Sus scrofa: one gene and its partner. The protein of the gene in region 2 interacts with the protein of the main gene of each other region in a pairwise test. Links are inferred from orthologs where the notes say so. Each region holds a gene or a part of one and is shown on either strand. Other genes may lie near its edges.

Evidence for each region.
Region 1: the proteins of CFAP206 (region 2) and SOX30 interact in binary tests that used the Homo sapiens proteins (3 or more experiments, as listed by UniProt). The two-hybrid records come from large-scale screens. The link is inferred for Sus scrofa from reciprocal best matches to the Homo sapiens genes CFAP206 and SOX30.

The regions. Positions count from the first base shown.
Region 1 is NC_010458.4:65,651,815-65,655,635, reverse strand, and holds part of SOX30 (transcription factor SOX-30), read right to left. Parts: intron 393-3,821; coding exon 1-392. UniProt on the Homo sapiens protein: Acts both as a transcriptional activator and a repressor. Binds to the DNA sequence 5'-ACAAT-3' and shows a preference for guanine residues surrounding this core motif. Binds to its own promoter and activates its own transcription.
Region 2 is NC_010443.5:55,834,771-55,838,591, reverse strand, and holds part of CFAP206 (cilia- and flagella-associated protein 206), read right to left. Parts: intron 2,669-3,821; coding exon 2,549-2,668; intron 1,123-2,548; coding exon 924-1,122; intron 1-923. UniProt on the Homo sapiens protein: Essential for sperm motility and is involved in the regulation of the beating frequency of motile cilia on the epithelial cells of the respiratory tract. Required for the establishment of radial spokes in sperm flagella.

The DNA of each region.
Region 1 (3,821 bases), on a different chromosome or scaffold from region 2:
GGGCTGGTAGACATGTGAGTGTGGAATAGGAGGAGGCTGGGGGATTGGAGCACTTCTGGGACAAGTAGAAACGCTGGGATACTCCTTGGGAGGCTGGATGGTTGAGGATGCAAATCTGGCATGGGCAGTACTTGCACTAGTTGGAATCCTACTGGTGCTTTCCGGAGAGACAGGAGTGGGTCTCTTCACAGAGCAACTGGCTCCAGAATGCAGCCGATGAGTGTCCGTTTGGGAGGGCCCAGCAAAGCGCTGGGGTGGGAGTGCTGGACGGAGGGGCAGACTTGGAGCCTGGACAGCCACCTGGGCAGTGGAGACACTGGGCTGGAAAAGTGTGATGGGACTTGGGCGCTGGACTGCTGGTGTGGGCAGCTGGATGGCAGGTGGAGCTTCACCTTCAGAAAAAAAAAATAACATAGGTCAGGCGTGAATTGAGTCACTCCCTATTCTACTTTGTTCAGTAGAATACAATAAACTGTAGAAGCAGAAGCCTTCACTAACCACCTTATGTAAGAGCACCACCACCCTATTTCCTTAATAACATTTTGAACTGAAACGATCCCATGCTTTATTTTACATTCCTGTCTCTCTTTCTCACCTAGATTCTAAGTGTCCTAAGAGGAGAAACCTTTTCTCTTTTGTTCACTATTGTTTCCCCAAGGCTCAAGATACTGCCTAGCACAGAACAGTCCCTTAACAAATATTTTTTGGATGAATAAAATGACTGATTGAGTAAAAGACAAAATATACACAAATGCTGGTATTTATACATAAACATTTCTAAGGAAATAATATGAAACTACTGATGGTGCTTACTTTTAAAGAGTATTCATCTGGAAGAGAAGACAGGGCCATGAGAAGCCAGACTTTCACTTTAAACCTATGGCTACTATTTGAATTTTCTATTCTCTAAATATATTAATTTTATTTTAAGTATTACTAGAGGTTTCAGTGTAGTTGTATGAGTCATTTTTTCTTTTATTTTGTATACCTATATTAAGCTAAATTATGAATGACATTTAATTCTTTAAATTAATTAATTAATTAATTTTTTATGACTACACCTGTGGCATAGTCCCAGGCCAGGGATTAAATCCAAGCCACAGCTGCAACCTACCCCACAGCTCTGGCAATGCAGAATCCTTCAACACACTGCATCAAGCTGGGGATGGAGTCCACACCTTCACAGTGACCCAAGCTGCTGAAGTCATATTCTTAATCCACTGTGCCGCAAGGGAAACTCCAACATTTCTTTTTTTTTTTTTTTTTTTTTAATTTTTATGGCTGCATCTGCGGAATAGGCATATGGAAGTTCCCGGGATAGGGGTCAGATCTGAGCTGCAGCTGCCGGCCTATGCCACAGCCACAACAACTGCCAGATCTGAGCCACATCTGCAACCTACACCACAGCTGGTGGCAATGGCAGATCCTTAACCCACCGAGCAAGGCCAGGGCTTGGACCTGCATTCTCATGGATACTATTCAGGTTCTTAACCTGCTGAGCCACAATGGGAATTCTCAACATTTCATTTTTTAATTGAAAAAAACTAAAGAAATAATCAGTAAAATTATTTTGCTTTATTGACTTCAATGTGAATACATAAGGAAATTCTCAAGTGAGACTAGGACTTGCCATAGGTCAACAATTTGGAATGGATAAGAAAGGAATATTATTGCAGCAGGGCATGACACATAGAGCAGCACTTTTAAAGGCAGGTAAAATAATCATGTATTTGATATTTTTGATCCTGAGGAAGAGAGGATTGCTGACTGAGTTGCTAAGTTATTCACTTAGACTAAATTTAAACTTTCCCAAAGAAATACAGAGAGAATCTAGTTTATTCCAGTGCAGTAAGGTCTCTGTTAATATAGAAGATGCAGTCCAAGAACAGACCTTATGGTTAGAAATGTTTTTGTCAGAGGCAGAAAGGAATGTGGATCTTTTCTCAGCCCTGCCCAGGTAACACCTTCCTCTCCTTCCTTCTCTGCAGATAAAGCAAATAATACCTCTCCTTAAACATGGAGGTAGGGAATTAAAGGATATATTATTTTTTGTAAGATTTTTGTTTCCCCTGTTATAGTTGATTTACAATGTTCTGTCAATTTCTACTGTACAGCAAAGTGACCCAGTCACACATAGATATATACATCATTTTTCTCACATTACCACCCATCATCTTCCATCACAAGTGACTAGATTTAGTTCCCTGTTTGAAGATGGTCTCTGACCCAATGAAGTAGAGGCAGCACAGGAGCAGGGTATTGATGAAGCTGTCCTGATTCTTAGTTAATGGGATTACATGGACTAGCCCTCCCATATGTGAGACACAGGCCTTCAGCCTTTCCTGATTAATCAAACATAAAATAATTTCCCTTTTTCATGTACCCTCTGGTCCTATAAATCTAGTCCATATCATAAAATAGTGTAAATGTGCAGGTCGGACACCATTTCCACAATCACAAAATTGGAGGCTTAAGAGCAGGAACAGTTTAATTCACATTTACATCCCCATTACCTGGCACAGAATCTGGTTAAGAACAGTTAAGAAAGCTATAACTAGATGAAAGAAAAAGCAAACTAACAAATAAGCCTATAGCTGATAGCACCTCTACAACTGATCTGATAGAAGAGGAATCTCCTCAGAACAACTTTGAAGCCAGGCTGACTTTTAAAATCTCTCAAAGCTTTATTCACTGAATTGCACCCAAAATATCTGCTCCTAAAATCTACCTCTGACACAGATTTCTTTTCCCTGTACTGTACAAGGGGCTCTTAGTCCTCAAAAAAAGAAGTGTGGTCTTATTAGGCAAAGGAAACAGAAATTACAGGCGCTGTAGAGAGCAATATTATTTCAATTACTGAAGAAGGAAGGGGACTCATCTTTTGGCTGTTATCAAATGTACTTTTCTACCAAAGATATTTTATGAAAGAAGGGTTACCAGTGAGGCATGAGGTGATTTTAAAATCATGCACTCATTTAATTAAACATACATTCACTAATCAACTAACATGTGTCAAACATCATTTTGGTCTGAGGTAAAAAAAAAAATCAGATGCATAGAGAGCCATGTGAAAGTATAATGAAGATGTCCTAAAAGTCAAAATTCAGGTTGCTAAACAGGAGGTTAAAGTCTACAACATTTAGTCATCACTGATAAACTGTCAGTATATAGAGAAACCTTGTAGAAAGGGAAGAGCTCTAACGTATCAAACTGTAGATAAAGTATGGAAAAGACCACCCAGACACCTATTTTCTCTGCTTCTAGCATGCAGCTAGATTATATTTCCCAGCTTCCCCTGGAGTTAGGAGTGGTCTCGTTGCTCAGGCTACCCAATGGAAGTAAAAGTGCTGTGCACCACTTCTGAGACTGGCCCACAAAAAACTCTCAGGCATGATCCTCCGTGCTTTTTTCTCATCTGCAGGTTCATACACACATGGATGCTACATATCAAGGATGAGAGAGCCACAGGGTAGAATAAACCTGTGTCCATAAATTATTTGGAAGAAAGCCAGAAATGCCTATGTTGGAGTTTATGTTGGTAGAAAAAATAAACCATGATTCTGTTTAAACCATTATGTTTCAGGGCATGTTAAAGCAGCTAGCTTTACCTATTCAGTACATGAGGTAAAGAACAGAATTTTAGATCTACAGTACAGTATGGTAATGAGAAAAGAAAAAAATTGAAGTTAATAGTTTTCAATAATTCCTGCAAATCTCTCATCCCCCACTTCTAAAGAGGAAAAATCCACTGCCTATGCTCAATTTATGAAAGATGCAACTAAGCTTTTATTGTATGATTGGGGAACAGAAACAGGTACAGA
Region 2 (3,821 bases):
TATTTTGGCATTTCTCATGAATTTTTTTATTTTTTATTTTTTGTCTTTTTGCCTTTTCTAGGGCCACTCCCTTGGCATATGGAGGTTCCCAGGCTAGGGGTCGAATCGGAGCTGTAGCCACCGGCCTACACCAGAGGCATAGCAACCGGCAAGGCCGGATCCTTAACTCACTGAGCAAAGCTAGGGATTGAACCCACAACCTCATGGCTCCTAGTCAGATTCATTAACCACTGAGCCACGTCGGGAACCCCTTCTCATGAATTTTCAGTTGTCTTTAACTAAGACAGAAAGGACCCAAAAAGAAATCAATAAATCTCTTAAAGGGCCTAAAAAAAAGCTCAGTTTTACAAGGATAACATTTATTGATTTATAAATTTCAACCTGAATCTGGAGTAGATATATGGCAAATGGCATTTCAAAGAAATGGAGATTCATTTGCAACAAATATAGCATGGATTAATGTCCTTTTCTACTACAAACCAATAATAAAATCACTAAGATTATGATAGAAACCCAGAAGCACAGAAAATCATTGTTAACCAAAACACTAGCAATAAGATCAGGAATAGTTACTGCTGGAGAGCAAAATATTCTGTTTATATATTTTCTGTTTTCCACATTTTCTATAACATCAATAGACTTATAATCAAGAAAGATGTTCAGGGAGTTCCCTGGTGGCTCAGCAGGTTAAGGATCCGGCATGGCCATGTTCAGGTCATTGATGAGGCACAGGTTCAATCCCTGGCCTGGGAACTCCTGGAGGCCTCAGGAGTGCCCCTCCCAAAAAAGATAATATTAAAATCTCACAGCAGGTATCATTAAAAAAAAACTTTATCAGAAAGATAGAACCTGAAATTTTTAAAACAAAAGAGTGACTTTATTCTAGGGGTATATTTAAGAGGAAAAAGAATGCTTTCTGTTACCCATGTGTTCTTTGATTCTACACACATCAGTTTTCACAGCCACTCGGTCAAGAAGATCTTGCATTACTTTTTCAGGAAAGAATAATTCATGAGCACCCAGAAATGGCTCGAGATGAGTAGTTAAATTACTGAGGACACTAATCAAAACAGTTTCATCCTGGAAGCTAGTCCACAGATTGGAAAGGGCAATGAAGATGGGCTGAGGAAGAGACAAAAATGTTCAAAATGTCACTGTTTAGCAAAATTACAAATCACTCTACCCTTTAAAATAAATACAAAGTTTGTTTGTAAAGAGATTAAGTCTCCCATAAGACAAGTCAAAGTCTCATGAAGTTAGACAATAAAATCTCAGTAGAAACTGGACTCATAAATTATGGGAAAATAAAATTGTATTTCAAAACCTTTTTTTTTTTCTTGTGTAATTGTCAGTAAGTAAGTTTATGCAAAAGAGCCAAACACTTGGGATCACCCAAGAAACATTTATGGACACTTCACCTCAACAGGTCTAGGGAAAAATATCTTCTTTTTTTCAAAAAAGCTAAATATGACTCATGATAATTAGATTTATCTAGCTCAATTATGATTCAAAAGAACCTGGAAAGTCTAGGGATATACCTTGGGGCATTTCCTGTGAGCTGCAAGTTAAAGATTTTGTCAGTGAGTGTATTTTTTCTTCACATTAAAAGTCATTGACTTATACAACAAATAAAAAATGAATAAGGTCCTATTTGTAAGTGAAACAACTTAGCCTTTTGTTCCTTGAATTTTAAAATAAAGTATTGGGAATGATTACATAAAATCATCAGAGAATCAAAATGCTCTATAAAATACTGCTTGTGCATCTTGTACTTTGGGGGGGCTCCCAGATTTGCCCGTAGGTGATGCAGATAATCAAAAAGTCAGAAAAGGTGCAGGTTTGGTAAACAAGGTGATTATTATCTGACTTTTCAGAAAGGTCACAAATTACATCACCTCCTTGCTGAAGGCAATTTCTCTCTCTCTCTCTCTCTCTTTTTTTTTTTTTTTTTTTTTTTTTGCTTTTTAGGGCCATGCCCGAGGCACATGGAAGTTCCCAGGCCTACACCACAGCCACAACAAGGAGGGATCCCAGCCACATCTGCTATTACACCACAGCTCACGGCAACGCTGGATCCCTGACCCACTGAGCGATGCCAAGGATTGAACCTGGATCCTCTTGGATACTAGTCGGATTCATTTCCCCTGCACCACAATGGGAACCCCAAGCAGAAGGCAATTTCTAACCAACTACTATGAACATGCTTTCAACACTGAACTATGGATTATTTTTGTGGTCACAGATAACACTGATATTATGCTTATTCTAATATATATCTGCACTTTGTCGAGTAGCAATTACCTACTGAGAGAATCCACTCATTCAACTTGTAACATCCTGGTTTTATGATTATTACTACAAAACTGCCATAAAGAAAAGGATCAACTTGTATAAAACTAATATTATATTTTTAGTATTTAAATACTTTAGTAATTAAAAATAATTTATTAAATTAAATAAATTAAATTTAACTGCTTCTGATTCAGTTTCATAGGACTTAAAAGCTTATCCTTCTTTAAACAAGGTCAAAGTTGATGCAAACACTTACAAAAACTTGCGATGTTGGAACAGCCGTCTTTGATTTTACAGTCATTTTTAATTGTTCGAGTTGGGCTCCTAACTGCTTTATCATCATTTCCACTTCTTGAGCACAAGTAATTATATCTGACTGTGAAGATAGAATAATTTGCATTAAAAGTTTTATAATTTTACTACAAAAATTGTACGTTTTAAGCCCTATCTGCTCCCCACATCCCCTGAAGGTAAACTCAATGAGAGCAGAGATTCTGCTCTTTGTGGTACCTCCAACACCAAGAACAGTACTGGCATATAGATGGTGCCCCAGAAATATATGTTAAATGGATGAATCTCTTGTTTTTTGGTTTTTTTTTTTTTTTTTTTTTTTTTGCTTTTTAGGGCCATATTTGCGGCACGTGGAAATTCCCAGGCTAGATGTCCTATTGGAGCTACAGCTGCTGGCCTGAGCCACAGCAATGCAGGATCTGAGTCGTGTCTGCGACCTACACCACAGCTCATGGCAACACTGGATCCTTAACCCACTAAGCAAAGCCAAGGATCAAACCCACATCCTCATGAATATTAGTCTGGTTCGTTTCTGCTGAGCCACAACAGGAACTCCCAGAAAAACAAGACTGTCTGTTACTAATGATAAAATTCACATGTTGAAAAAGTTGTATCTGCCACCACAAGTCAAACTTGACAGTATCCTAACACAAGATATTTTTTTCTTTTTTTTTTGGTCTTTTTGCCTTTTCTAGGGCCGCTCCTGCAGCATATGGAGATTCCCAGGCTACGGGTCTAATCAGAGCTGTAGCCACTGGCCTACACCACAGCCACAGCAACTCGGGACCCGAGCCGAGTCTGCGACCTACACCACAGCTCACACAACACTGGATCCCCAACCCACTTAGCAAGGCCAGGAATCAAACCCACAACCTCCTGGTTCCTAGTCAGATTCGTTAACCACTGTGCCACGATGGGAACTCCAAACACAAGATATTTCTAATGAGATTGTTGGAAGAAAAAAAAGAATGAAGTCACTTAAAATTTCCTTTTCACAATGCAGTCAAAAATGCTTAGGGAGGAGTTCCCACTGTGGCTCAGTGGAGATGAATATGACTGGCATCCATGAGAACGCAGGTTCAATCTCTGGCCTTGCTCAGTGTGTTAAGGATCTGGCATTGCCGTGAGCTGTGGTATAGGTCGCAGACGTGACTCAGATCTGGCACTGCTGTGGCTGTGGCATAGGCGAGTGGCTATAGCTCTGATTTGACCCCTAGCCTGGGGACCTCCATAAGCTG